Linked DNA regions of Drosophila melanogaster. The protein of the gene in region 1 interacts with the protein of each later gene in a biochemical or structural test. Each region holds a gene or a part of one and is shown in the gene's direction. Other genes may lie near its edges.

Region 1 (5,298 bases):
AGTTAAGTGTAAGTTCAAAAGTATTTCATTCCCTTGGATATTCCCTTCAGTAGGGTGCATGTTATAAAATGATTGGGTCCCATTTTTTTCAAAAATCCCTAATATTTAGTTTCGTTTGGAGATATATAGTATTTTTTGAATCATAAATGATTAAGCTTTGGTATTTATTGTCCTTTTAACGGCCTAGCCGGTGGATTTGCAAATAGGAAAATAAATATAAAAAACAAATTGGCGGGAAACCATCTCATTACTAAGGTGAGCAAATTAACCTTTTTTTTACATTATCAAATGTTCAAAGTAGCGGTGGTTACCGAAATATGAATCAATATTAATATCAATGTTCTTTCTGAAAAAGAGACCCAGCTAGATTCTAAATAAATGGTTGAGTTGAGTATTCAGGGGCATGAGCCAGGTACAGTTGGCCTGGGGCCGTACCTCAAAGTCCAACTGGAACGAGGCCTCCACGGTGGAGGTGTCGATGCTTCCGTAGATGAACTCCGGCGGATTCATGCCGGCGTTGGCGCGCTCGTACAGGCGTGCTCTCTTCGGCTGGGTGGTGCTGTAAGCGTCGTTCATCATCATTACGGAGAGCCGCTTGCGCTGGGCCACCTTGTTGACCTCGTGATCGCTGCAGCGCGGGTGGATGTGGGCCAGAACGACGTCCACGACGACGTGGCGCGTCTTGTCCAGCGGATCGGGCAGCATGGTGCAGATGCGGGACTTGCAGGGAGTGGACTTGTCCTTGCGCCTGTTGCACAGCCATCGGTAGGTGTTATTCCGCCCGATGCGATCGAAGTGGTACAGATAGTCGTCCACGCAGAGCATATCCACGCCCTTGGCGGAGCGCACCACGGACACCTTGGTCAGGTCCATGCCGTGCTCCTCGACGGGCGTCTCCATTTTTGAATTGGTGCGCTGTTTGGCCCGAGCCCGGAATTCAGCGTTTTTCGATTTGCCCTCGAAAAGTGTTTTGTATCGTAAATTAGGCGATTTTTTTAGTGGCTGGCTGCCTGGGATTTGTTGGTTGGGATTTTTGGTGGTATTTCGTCAGCTCACTATTTGCGCGCCTTTTTGCAAACGCCGGCCATTTACCCAAACGCACTGATTTATTGCAGTTTGATGCACTAAAAGGGTTTATATTTGGTTTTTATCACTCGATTTTAATTGCACAAGCACATTTTCTTTTGCGACGCGTCGAAAAATGCTTTTGTGTGGGATACGAGGGCTGCGAGCTATGCGGTGGCGTTGCCACTTATCAAAATCGGTTATTTTTGTGACGTTCAAAAATTGTAAATATTGATGTTTATTATTCACTTACAGTTTGGTGAGATTTTTCCCGTTGGATTCCCAGGACGAGGAGAGCGTGGGCGATCTTCTGCTACAAATTGACAGTATCTTGCAGTACGGCGAGGATGCAGACGTGAACGTTAAGGACTTTGATGAACCGGAGGAAGGGGATCAGGATTGAAAAAAATCAATTTTTCATATTGCTTAAGAAAATGTACAATATTTTATTTTTAATAAAAAATTAAATCTAATCAAAATGCATGTCTAGCACCATCCCTGACCGCAGAGTTGCCACTGGTACAGTGTTGGACAACTGCTGCCGTAATTTTAAATTCCCCTACGCGTACGGCGTCTAAACAAAACTGCGATTCTAAGAACGAATATAAAAGCATGCAGGAGGCTGGCGAAAGTCCTGTTGGAATGCCTCTGAGCCAGGAGGCCATCGCACAGCGTCTCGCGGCGCTTAGTCGTTGGCAGGACGAGCAGAAGCGGCTGCTGCAGGAGCGGCAGTCCAATCACCGCGTTTTGCTCGGCTTGGAGCAACGTAATATGTACAAAATGCTGGGACTGCTACACCAGGAAACGGAAAGCCATGAAAACAGTGTGCTGGAGGAGTGGGACGAGGAGCACTCTATACAAATGCCGCGACTCGCGGCGGATCCGGACGAGCACGAGCCAGAGATTTCAATGGCTGATCCCCAGCCGGCCAAGCCTAAACGCCCTTTTCTGCGTCGCGGCGAAGGTCTAAAGCAGCGGTTCAAGATCAATCCCGACCAGCTGCGCCTGGAAAACCTGCCGCGATACAAGTTCGCTAATGCCCACCCTCAGTTCCGCACGCCTCAAATGAAAAAGGGTATTCTCAAGAAGCAAGTCAAGTCACCTCCCAATCCTGCGCCTCCACCAGCTCCCAAACCCTCAGCACAGCTCGACGATCTCAACGAGCAGCGCTTTCAGCAGATGCTTATCGGCAAGAACGCCTGCAGTTCCACTCCAGATCTAAAGTCTTCCTATGCGTCCTCCACAACCGCCTCGAGCACCTCGCCCAGAGTTCGTTTTGTAGAGCAGAAGAGCAGGGCGGGACAAACCACTCATGCCGATGATGAAGCCTCCTCGGAAGCTAGTCCCATGACAGGAGTTTGCTGGGCCAAGGTGCTGGACACACAGAGTATAAAGCCAGCGCAAATCCAAAGACGCTCTGCTCAAATCCGAGTGGAAGATGACAGCAATGTAAGCATATTCGAGCTGCTCGAGCAGAAGGCCACTGAGGGAAACATTGATATGAACTCCAGCTGCATTCGAACCTTTATGGCGCGCAAAGATCAGCGTCGCCGAGTAGCTGATGACTCCGATCACATTGTAGTCACACAGCAGGTGCGTCAGATGCGATTGCAGCCACAGGTGGACCAGATGCTGGTGCAGGAACTGCAGGAGGGGGACGAGGAGGACACCGAACCGTCCAGCGATCAGACCCTCACAATGACACCCATCCAGGTGGGGAATACTAAAGTGCGAGTGCGTTTCTCCGACTCCAATGACACGCACGAGTACTCCGATGCCACCAGCCTCAACGACGGCTCCAATATTCAGCTCTTTGAACAGTTCAAGTCCGCCCTCTTCCAGGCATTGGAACAGAAGAAGAAGTCAAGTCCCAGCAAGGAGTCAGACGAACCCATAACCAAAGATCTTCAGGAGAAAGCCAATCTCGTTCGCACTCGCCTCGAAGAGCTGGAGACAGAGATAGCCACCTTCAAGGAGCAGAATGCCCAACTCCTTCGCCTGAGGCAGCAACACGAATTGGAGAAGGCAAAGTGCACACAGGATCACATGGAGGCCATGGAACGCGTCCATGACGAAAAGATTCAAGCTGAAATTTATCTGCACGACGAGCGCATGAAGATTGAGGAGGAACGACGCAAGTTCGAGCAGCAAATGCGACTTCAAAAGAGCAATGCAAACAGCAAGGAAAAAAAGGAGATAGCCGCCTTGAAACAGGAAGTGGAGGGACTGCAACTCCAGCTCAAACAAAAGGAGCAGGCGCATGTCTCGGCACAGGCACGACTCCGCGCTCAACTGCGGGCCAGTGAGAAGGAGCAGCGAAACTACCGTGACGAGATCGAGCTGCTGCGCAAGGAGAACAAGCGCCTAGAGCAAGAGCTGGTCAAGATTGGCCGCGAAAACAACAGCAAGATGCTGCAGGAGATCAATCGAAACATAGCCCGGCTTGCCCCCAAAGTGGTAAGTGCATGCTTGTGTGTATATCGTAATGTAACTAATGTCTTCATTTAGTTACCTTCCGCGACAATGTCCGATATCCTCGATGAGAACGGTCGGCGCACCCAATCTCTGGACGGCACTGCTGGTAAGCCTGCCAAGCAGCGAGAGGCGCAAAACCGTCGTCAGAGTAGCGGCAGTGCCCAAGTGAGAAGTCGGAGTCGCTCACTGAGCAGGAATAAGAAAACACCATACGCTCTGGATGAGAGCTACGCCTCTAGTAGTTCTGTGGAATCGGAGGAAGTTCAGCCGCCCGTGACCGCTCCGAAAGCTGCTACCCCCCCACCGGCTGCCAACTCCAGCAGTGACTTTAAGCGGGAGATTACGAATGCGGATGGGAGCAAGGACATTTGGTACCCAAACGGCAATCTAAAAAAGATAAGCGCCGATGGCATGAACTTGCGCATGCTCTATTTCAACAAGGATATCAAGGAAACTAACATCAGGGAAGGCACAGTGAAGTATTACTACGCTGAGACCAACACTTGGCACACCTCCTACCTAGATGGCTTGGAAATACTCGAGTTTCCCAACGGGCAGACGGAACATCGCCGCAAGGATGGCACTGTTGAGATTCACTTTCCCAACAACAGCATTAAGATTGTGGATCCCAGCGATACGGAGAAACTGGAGGAGTGGCGTTATGCGGATGGAACCCATCTAGTGCAGCTCCGGAATGGTGACAAGATTCTCAATCTGCCCAATGGCCAAAAGGAGATTCACACCAAACTAAACAAGCGAAGGGAGTATCCGGACGGCACTGTGAAGCTAGTGTATCCGGATGGCAGCCAAGAGACGCGCTACTCCAACGGCCGCGTTCGTTTGAAGGACAAGGATGGCAAGCTCATAATGGACACAGACTATGCCAAGTATTAGAGTCGGGTCTCTGCTTCCGTTGTTAAGTAAATTAACTTAAGTTTTAGATAAATAGAAAAGACGTGCTATTTTTAAAAGATCATCGTAATATTCTTTTCTTGCTGATAAATGGGAAATTGGCTCTATTTTAGATTATTATATATATTGTTTGGTTTTCAATTTGTTAGATCAAATGTAGTAAATTATTCATAGAATGGTATTCTACTCCGCGTTTACTCCTTCTTGGGCCATGGAGAGGTGATGGCCGAAGACCTTGGGATGCTGATTGAGCAGCTTGGAGGCGAATTGCACCATTTGCTCGAATGTGAACTCCGCCTTGGCACGTGGTCCCCAAAGGAAGAAAGTCTTGGAATCATCGTAAGCACTTAGCTGTGAGCGTTCCCGCTTCAGATATTGTTGCTTCACAAACGTCTCCTCGATCTGTTTGCGCAGATTGGGGCCGAAGTAGCCATGTTCTTCGTCTGGATAGATGTTGAGCATCTCCAGCATAACGTACAGTTTCGAGTCCTCGATGCGGTTGCCGCGCAGGAAGATGTACATGAGAATAATATACAGCAGCGTGAACTGCGGCCGTTGAGCCGGCGTCAGCTCGTGAATGGAGGCCACCGGCTCCTCCGCAGTGCAGATGAACGTCTTGGTGGTCGCGTCCAGTGGGGTTAGTATTATACCGAATGTTTCGGCCAGCAGATTAGTGACCAGCGGCAGGCGTTTCTTCAGTTCGCTCTTGTCCCCAGCCACCGCTATCAAATCCTTGTCCTTTATGGGAATCTTCTGGGCGGTATGATCAAGGATGTAGTTTAGAATGGCGCGAACCTTGGCGTCGACCACATCGACGGGTTGTTGCGCTTCCTGCGAGGGGATGGC
Region 2 (4,175 bases), on another chromosome or scaffold:
AAGGGCTTGGTCTTTGATCTTTGGCTTTGGCTTATCTTATCGTATGATTCTGGGAATACTGGTTTGGATGGATCTTAATGGCTGGCTGGAAATAACAAGTTGGTTATATGTAGTTTAGATATCTCATTCTTTGTACAGGCTTCCCCATACGGGCACAACATCGAACAGGCGACACAAAGCTATAACATATGTGTACATTTTCGCGATTCTAGACAGAGATAGTTGGTAGATTGGTGTAGTTTAGTCAGTGTTTAGTACTAGGCGGGAAGTTAGGATAGCTAGATAGTGAGTCACACTACGCATTAACATATGTGTTATTTTGTGGCACATGTAAAGAACCGAACGCAGGCATTGGTTTCATCGATCGCATTGCTGATTAACTTTCCAGCCGAACTGGAAGCCTTGACGCGAACAAGTGCAAGGTTATTAACTGACCCCAAGTGGGCGTGGTGGTGGGCGGTGGGCGCTACTTGTGCCAGCACATGGAGAACCCGAGTTGTGTGCAAAAAACACTGCTCAACTCGTTGGGAACACCGAAAATTAGTTTTTTATGCAGAAATAGTGAAGGAGAACACACACACAAACACACGAAGGCGTACTGCGCCGTGTGGTTAGCAGAGGGATTATAGTGGAAAAGTGAAGTTTTCGACGGATGCACACACAACACATAACTATATTTGCACACTATTTGTTAATTACCAGCTCCGGCTTATATGTTTTTTTTTTTTTTAAATCTCGAACTCTACGGGCTAAAATCGAGCAAAGTTGACGAATAAAAGTGGATACACACCCAAACTAGTGATGTGCCGCGCGGCGATAGTTCGGGTGCGTGAGCGCACCCGCATACCATCGCTAATATTCGCGCAGAAAAACATACAATACGTATCAGTTTTTAGTTCCATGCGCTCTGCAAAATGATGGCCAAGGACAAGGGTCTGGCTGTGGCCGGAACGGCGGCCCCCTTACCGGCCGCCCTCGACCACGAGTGGTCCGCCGAGGAAGAGCTGCAGCTGTTCCATGCAATGGAAGGCCTGCGCCCGGTGGGCATCAACAAGCACTTCTACATGTCCTGCATTGTCCAGCGTCTGTCCAAGTCGCTGAACCGTGAAATGCCCAGCGAGCTGATCTGGCGCCACCTGGGCACCATGTACAAGCTGAAGGAACTGGACGATCTGGAGTCGCTGCCCTTTCCCAACGAGGAGCGCGAGTTCAGCCTGCCGGAGCAGGATTACGGAACGCTACAGACCAAAAAGACGGTGGAAGTGCATGCCAACGAGGAGGCTGCAGAGGCACAGTCGGCCCCTCCAACAGCAGAGACCAATGGCAAAGGTAGTTCGTTAGTTATCATCAGGATTCATTCACTTGTAATGTTGTTTTACAGCTCCACCTGCAACCAAAACGCCGGTACCGACGAATTCCACCAAGGACGGCGACAAAAAGCCCGTCGCCAAGCCCCAGGAGCAGCTGCCCAAGCGTCCGGCCAAGCGCACACGCGGCTCCATGTCCAACGAGTCCATCAGCCCCTCCACTACGCCGCCGCCGGTGCAGAGCAACAAGCGCCGTCGCATATAGGTGACCCCCGCCCGAAACTGACGATTGTTGATCCGTTTTAGCTCATTAGTTTTACTGTACTCTAATAAAAGGATTTATTCTTCGAAATCGTTGTCCTCCTCGTTGGAGCCGTTCCCGTTCTCCTGCGCCAGAACCTCGGTGGCCTGCATGTTTTCCAGGAGCGATTTGAGAAGGCGTCGGTTGAGATGGTCGGTCTGCGTCAGTTCCCGGACTGCCTGGGGCGGAGCATTCTCGTCTGCCGGTGCAGGGCTGTTCTCAGCTGGAGTCGGAGTCTCTGCCATGGCTTTGATGTGCTCCAAAACAGGCATTTTTCCCCCGAGAAATTTCAGCTTTTGCTATGACACACAGTCCGCTGGGTGACTCGTGCACTTGGAAACTTGGCTAAGTGTAGGGTACACTCGATAAAGTATCGATAAGTTGGCGTTTTACGTCAGCCCTAGTTCCACCCCTAAGTCGATCGACTTCCAATTGGACAGATTCTCCCGCTCGAATTTAATTTAATCGGCAAATATAAACAAATACGCTCCAAATGTTTGTTCCCGAAACGGAGGATATGCTGCCCAGACTAGCGCCCAGGCCGAGTGCAGCAGTGCCCATGGGCCACACCAATGAGATTATAGGGCCCACCGTGCCGGAGGTATCCATATTGTTTGGCCAGCCGCCGCAGGATCCGCAGATGCAGCCGCAGCAGCCAAATCATGCACATCAGGAGTCATCCCCTCGTGCTGCACCCACCTTCGCGTCCTGGAAGAAGCAAATGCTGCCCAGGGTCAACTTTTCGCCCATTTTGGCCACAGAACTGGGTCCTCGCACCGCTCCCAGCAGCAATAGTCCGTGCTCCTCGAAGGAATACCAAGTAATGCCCCGGGATCGCAACTATGCAAGCGATGCGCAGCAGACTACCAATCATATGAACTGCAATGCTGGTGGCTATAATGCCGAGCCCAAGCAACAGGCATATCAATCTAGGCGCTTGTCCAGCTCCTCCAACGCAGATGTCCTCACCATCTGTGCTGGCACACAGACCGATCCCTTCAACCCATCTCCTCCGCGAAAATCACTGCCCCAGGTTGTCTATTCCGACATCGACGTCAGCAACTTGGCCAATAAGAGTGATCTGGCGGCTCTGGTATCCCTTGTGGAGTCCGTGCGCCATGAGCAGCAACAGCTTCGGAATCTCTGCGAGATGATTTTGGAGCAACAGCAGCGAGCGAAACCCGAAGCCATTTCAAAAGCCAGCAGTACCACTGGCACCCAGTGCGATATTCTGACCACCAATCAAGGTGCGTACGTTGAATCTGTATGAAAAGAATCCAATAAAACATCCTTCCTAGCAGGTAGACGCTTGTCTCCCATTATGCAGGATTACATAGCAGAGGAGGAGGAACCATTGCCGCCGCCACAAGCACGAGTGATTCCTCAGTTTCCGTCTCCTCGACCACATCCGCCGATCGCCCAATCTACGGGCTACCGGGCCAATACGCCTCAGGCGAAGCGGATCCCTCAACTGGCCAAGCCCAACACCGAGAAGAGCATGGTGATGAACGAGCTGGCGCTGAAATACTTGCGCCAGCCAGTGGATGAGTTGATGAAGGATATGCGCCTGGGGGCGTCGCCGAAGTCCCCTAATCCAGAGCCACTGCGTCCGATCGACAACATAGGCCACGCGCAGAGTCCAAACGACATATCCAATGCTTCGTACAAGTATCTCAAAAAATACCGTCTGCTGCCCGAGGAGCAACTGGAGCCGGTGTGTCCACAATCTCCCATGGCGGCGACCGCCCCTTCGCCACATATTCAACTGGACTTGGAGAATATCAGGAACCAGCCGAAGCTGTTGTGAAAGCATGTACAATGTTCGTTTTGTTATTTATGCATATGTCTATTTGCGATTTAAGTGGAAATATATTTCAATACACGGAATAACGTTGACAATCTTCTGGTGATCCCAGCCTAAACTAACGTAGAGAACCACTCTTTGTATACAAAACATTTTGTGTTTGACATCGATATCTGAAGACACAATAAGAATATACGTTTAGTGAACTTGGCTGCGATCCGGCGACGGGGCTCTAACGCAGAACCAACTGTAGCTCGGATGCGGATTGCAGTAGGACCTTCAGTCCCTGCATAAAGCCCGCGCACTGCGCAAAGTCCGTTCCGAAGGCGATTTGCGTGTGGATTTCCATAGCATTGGCATAGTCGGATATTTGAATGTACTGAACTATTTGATTCAGATATTGCACCGTGGTGGGAGTGAGCTGGAATTAAAGTAAATGCCATTTGAGAATTGCAATTGAATCGCGATCTAAGGCAGCAGCTCTCACCTTTCCATCTCTCAGGCAGTCGTAGAGATTTTCGAGCCTCTTGACAACATCGACAAACTTTCGTTTTGTGCGCTTAAAATGTAAGAAAATTTATAAACAAAAGTAAGTTATTCCTTTTGTCTATATGGATCATTTATTAATAGACTTACCGGATCATTGGTTGCGCCCAGGCAGCGGTTCTTCAGCTCCTCCAGCACAGTCTGCAAGTAGATGTACTCCTCGGGGAGTGGTGGCTTCTCCTTGGGCGGCGCCGGTTGGCGCTGTTGCTGGATGGGC

The links.
Region 2: the proteins of Sas-4 (region 1) and ana2 are reported together in a solved structure, tested with the Drosophila melanogaster proteins (one study listed by BioGRID).

Annotation. Positions count from the first base shown.
Region 1 is NT_033777.3:7,149,731-7,155,028, forward strand, and holds Sas-4 (spindle assembly abnormal 4), read left to right. Parts: upstream 1-1,636; 5' UTR 1,637-1,677; coding exon 1,678-3,522; intron 3,523-3,573; coding exon 3,574-4,434; 3' UTR 4,435-4,489; downstream 4,490-5,298. Other genes in the region: CG2656 (uncharacterized protein), read left to right, coding at 1,321-1,468; gfzf (GST-containing FLYWCH zinc-finger protein), read right to left, coding at 436-900; MAGE, read right to left, coding at 4,636-5,298.
Region 2 is NT_033778.4:8,898,047-8,902,221, reverse strand, and holds ana2 (anastral spindle 2), read left to right. Parts: upstream 1-2,010; 5' UTR 2,011-2,101; coding exon 2,102-2,855; intron 2,856-2,906; coding exon 2,907-3,415; 3' UTR 3,416-3,493; downstream 3,494-4,175. Other genes in the region: MrgBP (MRG/MORF4L binding protein), read left to right, coding at 915-1,329, 1,382-1,572; CG13751 (uncharacterized protein), read right to left, coding at 1,647-1,880; Sec31 (secretory 31), read right to left, coding at 3,645-3,833, 3,900-3,971, 4,049-4,175.